2 linked regions of the Coturnix japonica genome follow. The protein of the gene in region 1 purifies or fractionates together with the protein of each later gene. This does not show direct contact. Links are inferred from orthologs where the notes say so. Each region holds a gene or a part of one and is shown on either strand. Other genes may lie near its edges.

What was found. The genes of interacting proteins can lie anywhere in the genome.
Region 2: the proteins of RAN (region 1) and NCBP1 purify together in Homo sapiens (co-immunoprecipitation; 3 studies listed by BioGRID and IntAct, with this or other methods). This does not show direct contact. The link is inferred for Coturnix japonica from reciprocal best matches to the Homo sapiens genes RAN and NCBP1.

The regions. Positions count from the first base shown.
Region 1 is NC_029530.1:2,657,447-2,662,176, reverse strand, and holds the start of RAN (GTP-binding nuclear protein Ran), read left to right. Parts: upstream 1-1,313; 5' UTR 1,314-1,444; intron 1,445-2,231; 5' UTR 2,232-2,238; coding exon 2,239-2,274; intron 2,275-2,985; coding exon 2,986-3,070; intron 3,071-3,158; coding exon 3,159-3,284; intron 3,285-4,254; coding exon 4,255-4,442; intron 4,443-4,730. Other genes in the region: STX2 (syntaxin-2), read right to left, coding at 977-1,072. UniProt on the Homo sapiens protein: GTPase involved in nucleocytoplasmic transport, participating both to the import and the export from the nucleus of proteins and RNAs. Switches between a cytoplasmic GDP- and a nuclear GTP-bound state by nucleotide exchange and GTP hydrolysis.
Region 2 is NC_029547.1:62,565,657-62,569,937, reverse strand, and holds part of NCBP1 (nuclear cap-binding protein subunit 1), read left to right. Parts: intron 1-2,624; coding exon 2,625-2,735; intron 2,736-3,792; coding exon 3,793-3,857; intron 3,858-4,281. UniProt on the Homo sapiens protein: Component of the cap-binding complex (CBC), which binds cotranscriptionally to the 5'-cap of pre-mRNAs and is involved in various processes such as pre-mRNA splicing, translation regulation, nonsense-mediated mRNA decay, RNA-mediated gene silencing (RNAi) by microRNAs (miRNAs) and mRNA export.

The DNA.
Region 1 (4,730 bases):
CCATGACTATTTCTAACAGCACACAAACTCCAGTTTCTATTTCCTCCGAAACGAATAGCACACAACCAAAAAAGGAGACTACATGCAACATACACCATTGCTATTTATTCCCAGATTAGGAAAATTAAAAAAAAAAACCATGCGGGAAATCTTCCATTTCAACCATACCACATCCTATGGATGAGAAGCATCAGCTCAGCTCCTTTTCTTTCTCAGAACACCGTTTCCAGAAAGCGAATGAAGGGGAAGGAAGGGAACGGATAAACACGCCACTCCTGTGGTGGTGCCGCCTCAGCTGCCCGGGCCTCGCGCCCCTCCCCGACCGTTACAACCATAGCGGCCCCACAGCTCTCACCTCAGCCAGGTCAGCCAGCCGGTCCTTCATCCCCTCAGCTCCTCAGCTCCGCTCGTTCCTCACACAGCCCCGTTCCAACGACCGCCGTATCCGCCGCCGCCCCGCTCAGGCCGGGCCCAGCGCTCGGCCCCCCCCCCCACACACACACGACGTCACGACGAACCGGAGCCCGCACCGCAGTGCGCATGCGCCAACCGAGCCCCGGGGTGACACCGGGAAGCGCGCCTTGGATCTGCTGACGTCACCATGCTGGGCGGGAAGGGAGCTGCGCATGCGCGGGGCTGCGGCGGGAGGAGAATGGGCGGGAAAGGGCGCGGGAGCGCGGGGAGTCCAATAGAGACATGGGGTGGTACCGGTGTGGTTCAGATGTGGTCCCAGTGTGGATCAGGTTGCCCAGGAGACCCCATAGAGACCCCATAGAGACCCCATAGATCCCCATAGACCCCATAGAGACCCCATAGACCCCATAGAGACCCATAGAGACCCCATAGACCCTATAGAGACCCCATAGAGACCCCATAGATCAGGTTGCCCATGGCCCCGTCCAACCTGGCCTTGAACATCTCCAAGGACGGGGCATCCACAACCTCCCTGGGCAGCCTGTTCCAGGGCCTGACCTACCTTTAGTACCATCCCTTGTGGTCTATGAGATAAGCAAACTACAGCACAGTGCCGTGCCTCCTCTGCGTTTTCTTTCTGTATTTCCACTAAATGCATCTTTGCTCTTTGGAAGAGCTTATCAACAACTTTTTTTTCCACTATAACCTGAATGTGAGCGCTTAGGGAAGCGCTATGATGCAGCGTGGAGCCACATAGGGCTATGTCCTATATCTCTATGTCCTTTAGCAGGAGCATTGTGCCCCACTAAAGAGACATAGACACGAGGTGCCGGATCAGAACCAACACAGACACGGGCAGAACCGAACCGGGCCCAGCCCAAGTCCCAGCTCCGCCCGCTCACGTGACCCCAGCCCCTCCCCCTCCCCGCTGCCGCGCGGCGTCGCTGTCCGGGTATTTGAACCGCGCTTCCGCCATCTTCCCAGCGCCCAGTCACGGCACGGAGCGACGCGGTTAGAAGCCCCGGGAGAGGTAATAGGGATGGGATGGGGTTGGGATGGGGTTCTGTTCCCTTTAGGGCCGGGTTATGGGGATGTGAGGCTGCTGTGAGGTGGGTGGACGGTGTTATAACCGCCGGGTTGGGTTGTGTTGAGGCCGGGCCCGCGTGAGCGCCGTGCCTGCGTGGCGGCCTGTCCTTGTGGCCCTTATTGGAGCCGTGTGGGGTGAGAGCGGAGCCCGGCTCATCGCTGAGGTAACAGCGGGCGGTGTGTGGGATGGGAATCATGGCAGCGGGGCCTCCAACGGTCCGGGCGGCTGTTGGGGGGGGGGGGGAGGGGAGGCGGCGCTGCTCAGTCATGGTGGGATGGGGATGGGGGCTGCGACCGGCCCGCACCACCCGATGAGGTGTTTGGAACGGGATGTGCTGCTGTGTTTCATATATAAAGGCCGGAGCCGCCTTTTTAATAGTCAGGCCGCGGCTCGGCCCCGTTTATCGTAGCGTGGAAGCCCCAGGGGCGCGGTGGTGGCGGCGGCGGCTCTTCCGTTACGGGCCCCGGGGGTGGGCGGGGAGCTGCCGCCGCCATTACCGCGCGCTGCCGCCTCGTATGGGGCGGTGATGGCGAACCGGGACCAGGGCCGGGTGGGGAGCATCGGCCCGGGCCGAACTTGGGGCCTTTGCAGCGGCTGCCGATGGTTGAAACGCGGAGCACGCGGCCCGGGAGGCGGTTTGGAAGCCGAGAAGCTCGGCCGGCCCCTTCCGGCGGGGCCTTGAAGCAGCTCGGCTCATTGAGCTCACACATGCTTCCATTTCCCCCTGCAGACCCAGCATGGCCGCCCAAGGAGAGCCCCAAGTGCAGTTTAAGGTAAAGGATCCTTTCTATTTTTCCTCTCCTTCCATAGAAAAGTAGCAAGAAGAACTTCCAAGAAGTGCCGTGGATGGTGGATTTGGTTTTAAAGTGCTGACTTCATCGATGTGTTGAGCTGATCACGTACTGCATTGCCTCACAACAGCATTCTATTGTCCTATCAATCTGGTGCTATTTGCTGCTTTACCAAAAAAATAACTTCACATAAAAACACCACTTAAAACGTGGTGACTTCATGGAGTGATATTCACAGCAACGAACAAAGAGTGCTAAAAGTGACTTAGAGCAACTTGTTTTATGCCACATCAACTACTGGGGTGGAACATAATGGAGCAGAGCTGTTACCTTAACAGCCAGAAGTCTTATGGCTGCTGCATTGATTGATGCTTGTTTTTTTTACACTGTTCATCTAATATATCCCAATTGTTAGTAACACAGGTTTTCTTTTTTTCCAATTGCAAGATTACAGTTCTTTTCTCCAGCAATTCAGATGCTTGTATTTTATTATAACACATCTTTAGCACAATGTGTTCTAGTTCTCAGTTACAGGGACTAGTTAAGTTTGGACAGGACTTATAGAATGACTCGTTTAACAAATTAAAACCCAACATAGAAAGTTACTTCATTGGGAATTTTAGTGTTTTCTTCACGGTATTTTGTAAGACAAACTATGTCGCTCTGACCTTCTTTACTTAAATGTATTAACAGCTTGTCCTGGTCGGTGATGGTGGCACCGGTAAAACAACATTTGTAAAACGTCATTTGACTGGTGAATTTGAGAAGAAATATGTAGGTATGTCTGAAGAAATACTCAAGATCTTGTGTGTTACTATCGAAAGTATAATTGACAACTTGCTGACTGTTCTTTCCTATTACTGTAGCAACATTGGGTGTTGAAGTTCATCCTCTGGTATTCCATACTAATAGAGGCCCTATTAAATTTAATGTATGGGACACAGCTGGCCAGGAGAAATTTGGTGGTCTGCGAGATGGCTATTACATCCAAGGTAAGATGTGCTCATATGTAGTTATGTCCTGTGTTCTGTTCAGTTTGGCCACTCTGAGAGCTTTTAACATGGCTTACACTGGTGAGCTCCCTTATGAGTGTTGGAACTTTGTATAAATATAGTCAGATCTGTTTCCGTACTAAAACTTAGTTTCAGTCTGTGAAACCCATTGCTGTGGGCTTTGATTTTACTGAAGAGTAACTGTGCACCTTCAGTGATAGTACTCATGAAATTAAGTGGTTAAGAGGTAAGTATGCGTAAGTGAGTAAAAATTACCTGTATTGGTATCCTGTGCTGCTGCAAAGACTTGGAAGAAACATACTATAAAACATAAAATAGTATAAAGAAGTTCTACATGTCCTTGGCTGAGGCTAATGGCCTTTCTAAAGGTGTAGTAATAGAGCTTGACCTTGAAGATAAGGGACTGTTCTGTGAGTACTTCAGTCACCCATGTACCTTTTAACATTCTGCAAGACAGGTTTAGAGCCTGACTTTTCCTTTAGAAGTATCAGAATCAAGTGTTCTTTGGCAAGCTGTTCTGGACAGGGGCATTCTGAGATGTGAACTACAAGCTCTCCACTTATCTGAAAGCCTCAATAGGCTGAGATTAGTTCAGTAGCATTAAGACATTTTTCTCAGGTATTAAGGTGAACTAAAATTCTTTTGTAATCATTGTGTAGTCTGTGCCATGCAACATTAGAATTGTCGCATGATGCTGCATGAATAGAAGCAGCTGGCATTTAGAGTTAAGCACCAAACATATGACAGGGTCATGGGCTGAGTTCTGTGGACTCCTGCACAGTGATTATCTTGCACTTTGATCTGGTAAATGGCATGTTCTCAACTGTGAGACTGAAGAGAAACCTAATGCTGGCACCCCTAATAACTGATTATTGTGGGTACTCTTTCCCACTCCAGTTTATAAGAAAGTGGTTACCTGCCTGATGTAATTGTTTGGTTTTTTTTACAGCTCAATGTGCCATTATAATGTTTGATGTAACATCAAGAGTTACTTACAAGAATGTACCCAACTGGCATAGAGACCTGGTACGGGTATGTGAAAACATCCCTATAGTGTTGTGTGGCAACAAAGTGGATATTAAGGACAGAAAAGTCAAGGCAAAATCCATTGTCTTCCACAGGAAGAAGAATCTTCAGGTATGATGGCGTGAGTTCACAGGATTAGAGATACATTAAGTCTGTTAACTACATTTGAGTGCTATTCAGTCCTTCAGTGTTGGGAATAAGATGAAATTAGACCAAGTCACAGGAAAAAGAGGCACTATTGCATCCTGAAATCACCTTTGAGCAAATCACCTTTAAGCACCTTATGTTTAAGAGTATCAATTTCTGCCTATTGGCCTGAAACTCTGCATTTCTAATGTCTCATATCTCAGGTGCTTCTGAGGGCATTGACAGAAGTCATGCAGTTAAAAAGAATACTAA
Region 2 (4,281 bases), on another chromosome or scaffold:
TATTTGATAATGAGCATGTGAATTATATCAGAATTATCATCTAAAGCAGCATCTCAAATAGCTAATGACCTGTCATCCAAGTGTTGTTGTTTCCTGTCTTGAGAGCAGTAGCTCTGTACTTAACGTGTTCCCCAGTGCCTTTTTACCATACATTTCTTAACAACATAATTGAAACAGAATGGCTTCTGTGTACTGTGGCTTTAGTTTCACATGCACACACTTCTCAGCACTGTAAAGTCTCTGTGGATGATATCCCTTCCTTCTGCTGCATCACCTGCACCACTCAGCATAGTGCCATCAGCAAATCTGCTGATTGTGCCAACCCTGCTTTCTAGGTCACTGATCAAGATGTTGGAGAACACCAGTTCTAGGATGGGCCCCTGGGGATCACCAGTCAGTCACCAGCCTCTACATGCTGAACACAATCCTCTGGCTGCAAGCATCCAACCAGTTATTTAACCACCCTTCAAATCTGTATTTCTCTAGTTTAGGGATAAGGATGTAGTGTGGTGTTGCACCAGAAGGGGTTTAGGTTGCATATTAAGCAAAACCTTTCCTCAGAAAGGATGGTGAGGCATTGGAACAGGCTACCCAGGTAGGTGGTGGAGCCACCATCCCTGGAGGTTTTCAAGAAGAGTGTAGATGCAGCATTGATGGATGTTGTTTAGTAGGCATGGTGGTGATTGATTGGTGGTTGGAGCTGAGCACGTTAGAAGTCTTTTCCAACTGTAACTATTTTATGAACATGTCAAAGGCCTTGCAGAAGTCTAGGTAGATGGTATCTCTTGCCTTTCATTTGTCCACTGATGCTGTCACTCCATCACAGAAGGCTGCCAGATTGGTCAGGTATGGTTGGCCCTTGGTGAAGCTCTGCTTGCCGTCTCATATCATCTCCAGTTTCCTGCCTTCTCTGCTTAGTAGATTTCTTATGCTGGGGATGGAGAGTTGTCTTGAAACTGCTGCCAGCTCTGTACTATTCCTTTGTCCACAACAACAGCTTTATGGGGATCCCATCCAGTAATTCTTCAAACAGATGAAATGTCACTCTCCTGAATGTCAGGGTCCCGGCTTTGATCTGTGCCAGGCCCATCTTCCTTAAAATCACAAACTCAAACAGGATGTAGTTGCTATAGCCCATGCTGCCTCCAGTCTTAACCTGTTTCATGATTTCAACTGCATCAGTGAGCTCCAGGTTCAGTAATGCTTCATCCCCTGTTGGTGCAAGGAAGCTGTCCTCAGTAGCACTGCAGAAGTCTCCTGGATTGCTTAAGGCTCACCATGTTGCTTTTCCAGCAGACATCCATGTGGTTGAAATTCCCCATCAGAATGGGGACAGACCACACATCTCTTGCAGACAAAGCAAGAAGACCTCATCAGTGGGCTCCTTGATCAGGGAGCCTGACCACCAGAGGTCCCTTATTGGTATGGTCCCCAGAAGCACTCAACCTGATTGTGACTGTTTTCCAGAGGCAGCTGTTCACACTCTGTGCTTATAGAGCAACTCCTTCCCCACTCCTTCCTTGCCTGTCTTCTGAAACGTTGCAGCCCTCAGCTGAAGTGTTTCCAGTGTTGTGACTTGTCTCACTATGTTTCTGCAATGGCAACTACATCACAGTTTCTAACTGCACCATGGTGTCATCTCCTGCTTATTTTCCATGCTGCATGCATTGGTGTAGAGGTACTTTGGGCAGGCTGTTGGCCACGATGCCTTCTTGTAAGAGCCCTCTGAGACAGATCTGAGGTTTTTCTTTGCTGCTTTCTAAAGTGACAGTGTTTCCTGGCTCTTCTCTGTCACTTAAAAGTACAAGCTCTTCCCCCATCAGATCTTATTTAAAGTTCTCTTAGCCCAGCCAGCTTTCTGCCCATTAAATTGTTGCTCTGTCCCAACAGTTGCATACCATCCAATGTCAGCCTACCCAATCTCTTGAAGGTGTGTCCAGAATCACAGAACCCGTAACCCTGAGATTGATACCATTCCTGCAGCCAGTCACTGGCATGGTCCTTTCACTGCATCCACGTGGGTCACAGTCTCCAGCCAAGAAGAATGAAGAGAACACTACCTGTGTTCCTGATATTTCTGTATCCCAAGGGAGGAGCTTATCGTGTTTTTGTCATTTCCTTGTGGCTTCCTCATGTAACTCATCTTGAAAGAGCAGGAGTGGATAGCAGTCCTCCATCTTTATCAGACCCAGAAGCTTTCTCGATGGAGTTCATCTCCTTATAGAGTATAGAGTGAAAAAGTACTGTCTAATTTTCATGTTGGTTGTCTTTCATATTGTATACTTAGGCTTTGCTTAATGTGTTTAATGTTTATTGTTTAGTAGAACCAGGTTATTCCCACTTTGTTTTGCCAGCACCATTTGGTAACGCTAAATAGAGCATAATGTAGATGTATTTCTTAGATGTGTCTAATGCTGGGACTGTGTTGTGTTAGTACAAAACGATGAGAGTGGTTTAGAATCTTCTAATATGATGTAGAGTTACCACTGTCTTTGTAAGCATCACCTTTTTCTCCTTTTGCTTGACAGAATAATAACAGCCAATTTGAGTATGTGCTTGTTTAAGGCTGATGTTGCTGATCTGAAGCTGACTGTGCTCTGATTCTATGCCTTCCTCTCCTGCAGGTAATTTTTGCAGAGTTGTTTCAGCTTCCTTCTCCACCACACATCGAGGTCATGTACACAACGCTCCTGATTGAACTGTGCAAGCTTCAGCCTGGCTCTTTACCACAAGTTGTATCCTTCCTTTGTTTCCAGAGAGCATTTTTAAAATGGAGTCTTTATGCCACTTGTTCTGTAGGTGAAGAAATAGCAATAAATATTGTCAGTAATCTATTTTACAGCTGCCATATGAGGCTTTGCTTGTAATACTTGCATGAAAGAACAGCACAGCCCGTGTAGCATCGGTCTAGTCTGGGTGACTGAGCAAGACTACTCAGATTTCTGAACACTACGCTGGTACTCCTTTCACTTTCCAAAGAGTTGCTGTTCTAGTATCCTGTTAGGACTGCATAACGTGTGGCCTGATTGCATATTGAAGGCTGAGAAGGAAAGGAAGGGATAAACTTAATCTGTGTGAGCATAGCAGATCATTTAAAATGAACCTGCACAAGTTCCTACTCAGATGCTCTCAGTGGAAGCATCTGGACATGGAAATCCAGACATGGCCTCACCAGGGCAGGAAAGGGAAGGATCACCTCCCTCAGTGCATTAACCACACCTGTTGTAATGCACCCCAGGGTACCATTGGCCTTCTTGGCCAAAAGGACACATTGTTTGAAAATCACGTAATGCCAGTGATTAGAGCTAGAAAGGTTCCTAGAACTGTGGGATCTCTGTGCAGAAGGCTTTTAATGTTAATAGGGATGCTGTAAAAGAACAAAGCCTTTGTTGGGCAAAGCCAGCGTAGACACAGTTTCTTGAGTTTTCAGTTATGATCAAAGGTTGTTTGTGCATGAGTATCAAGAGCAGCCTGTTAAGGTACAAGGAAGGTTACAGAAGTACTTGATTGTTATCTGTTTGTGTCTGTACAGTTCTGTTGCGTGAAGAGAATTCTAACTTGGTGTAGCAGACAGCAATCTCACTGCCATGGAAGAGAAACAGTGTTAGATGGGAAAATGCTTTTTGGCTTCTTGTCTTTCTGTTATCCCCCCCCTATGAATTTAGTGTGATTTACCTGCTTCTGGAATAGTCCAAAGGAGCTATCAGTTCTTGCAGTTCTATTCCAAAACTGAATGGAATTGCATTTGATTTATCCTAGTGCTTTTTTGTTAACCTTAATAAGAAACTTCAGCTTGCACAAGCCACAGAAATGCTCTACATGCGTTTGGATACAATGAATACAACCTGTGTTGACAGGTAAATGTGTTTTCCAGGGATGGAAAATATTCTTTGTTTTTTCTATGTGCTGGGCATTAAGGAATCTACAGAAAAAATAATCCAAAATTCTTACTATAAATCCTTAGTGCCATTCAAAACAATTTTGGAGGGCTCTTGATATGATCAATGTAAATAGAAGTTTGGGGCCTTGTGCCCTTTCTTTCTAAAACACTCCGCTATAGTGCTGGCAAGAACTTCTGTGTATCCATCCATATGGTACAGTAGGACATGACACTCTCTCTTGGTCCAGAATATCTGGTTTCTGATTTTCCGAACTTAGTCTTTTGACAGAAGTGTAATGCTGTGCTGCCTTTGGCATATAGAATGTATTTACAAGAAATTCTCAAAGGAAGGAATTTTCTGCACTCTGAATATTTAATAAAGCTTTTTTTTTCTTCTTCTT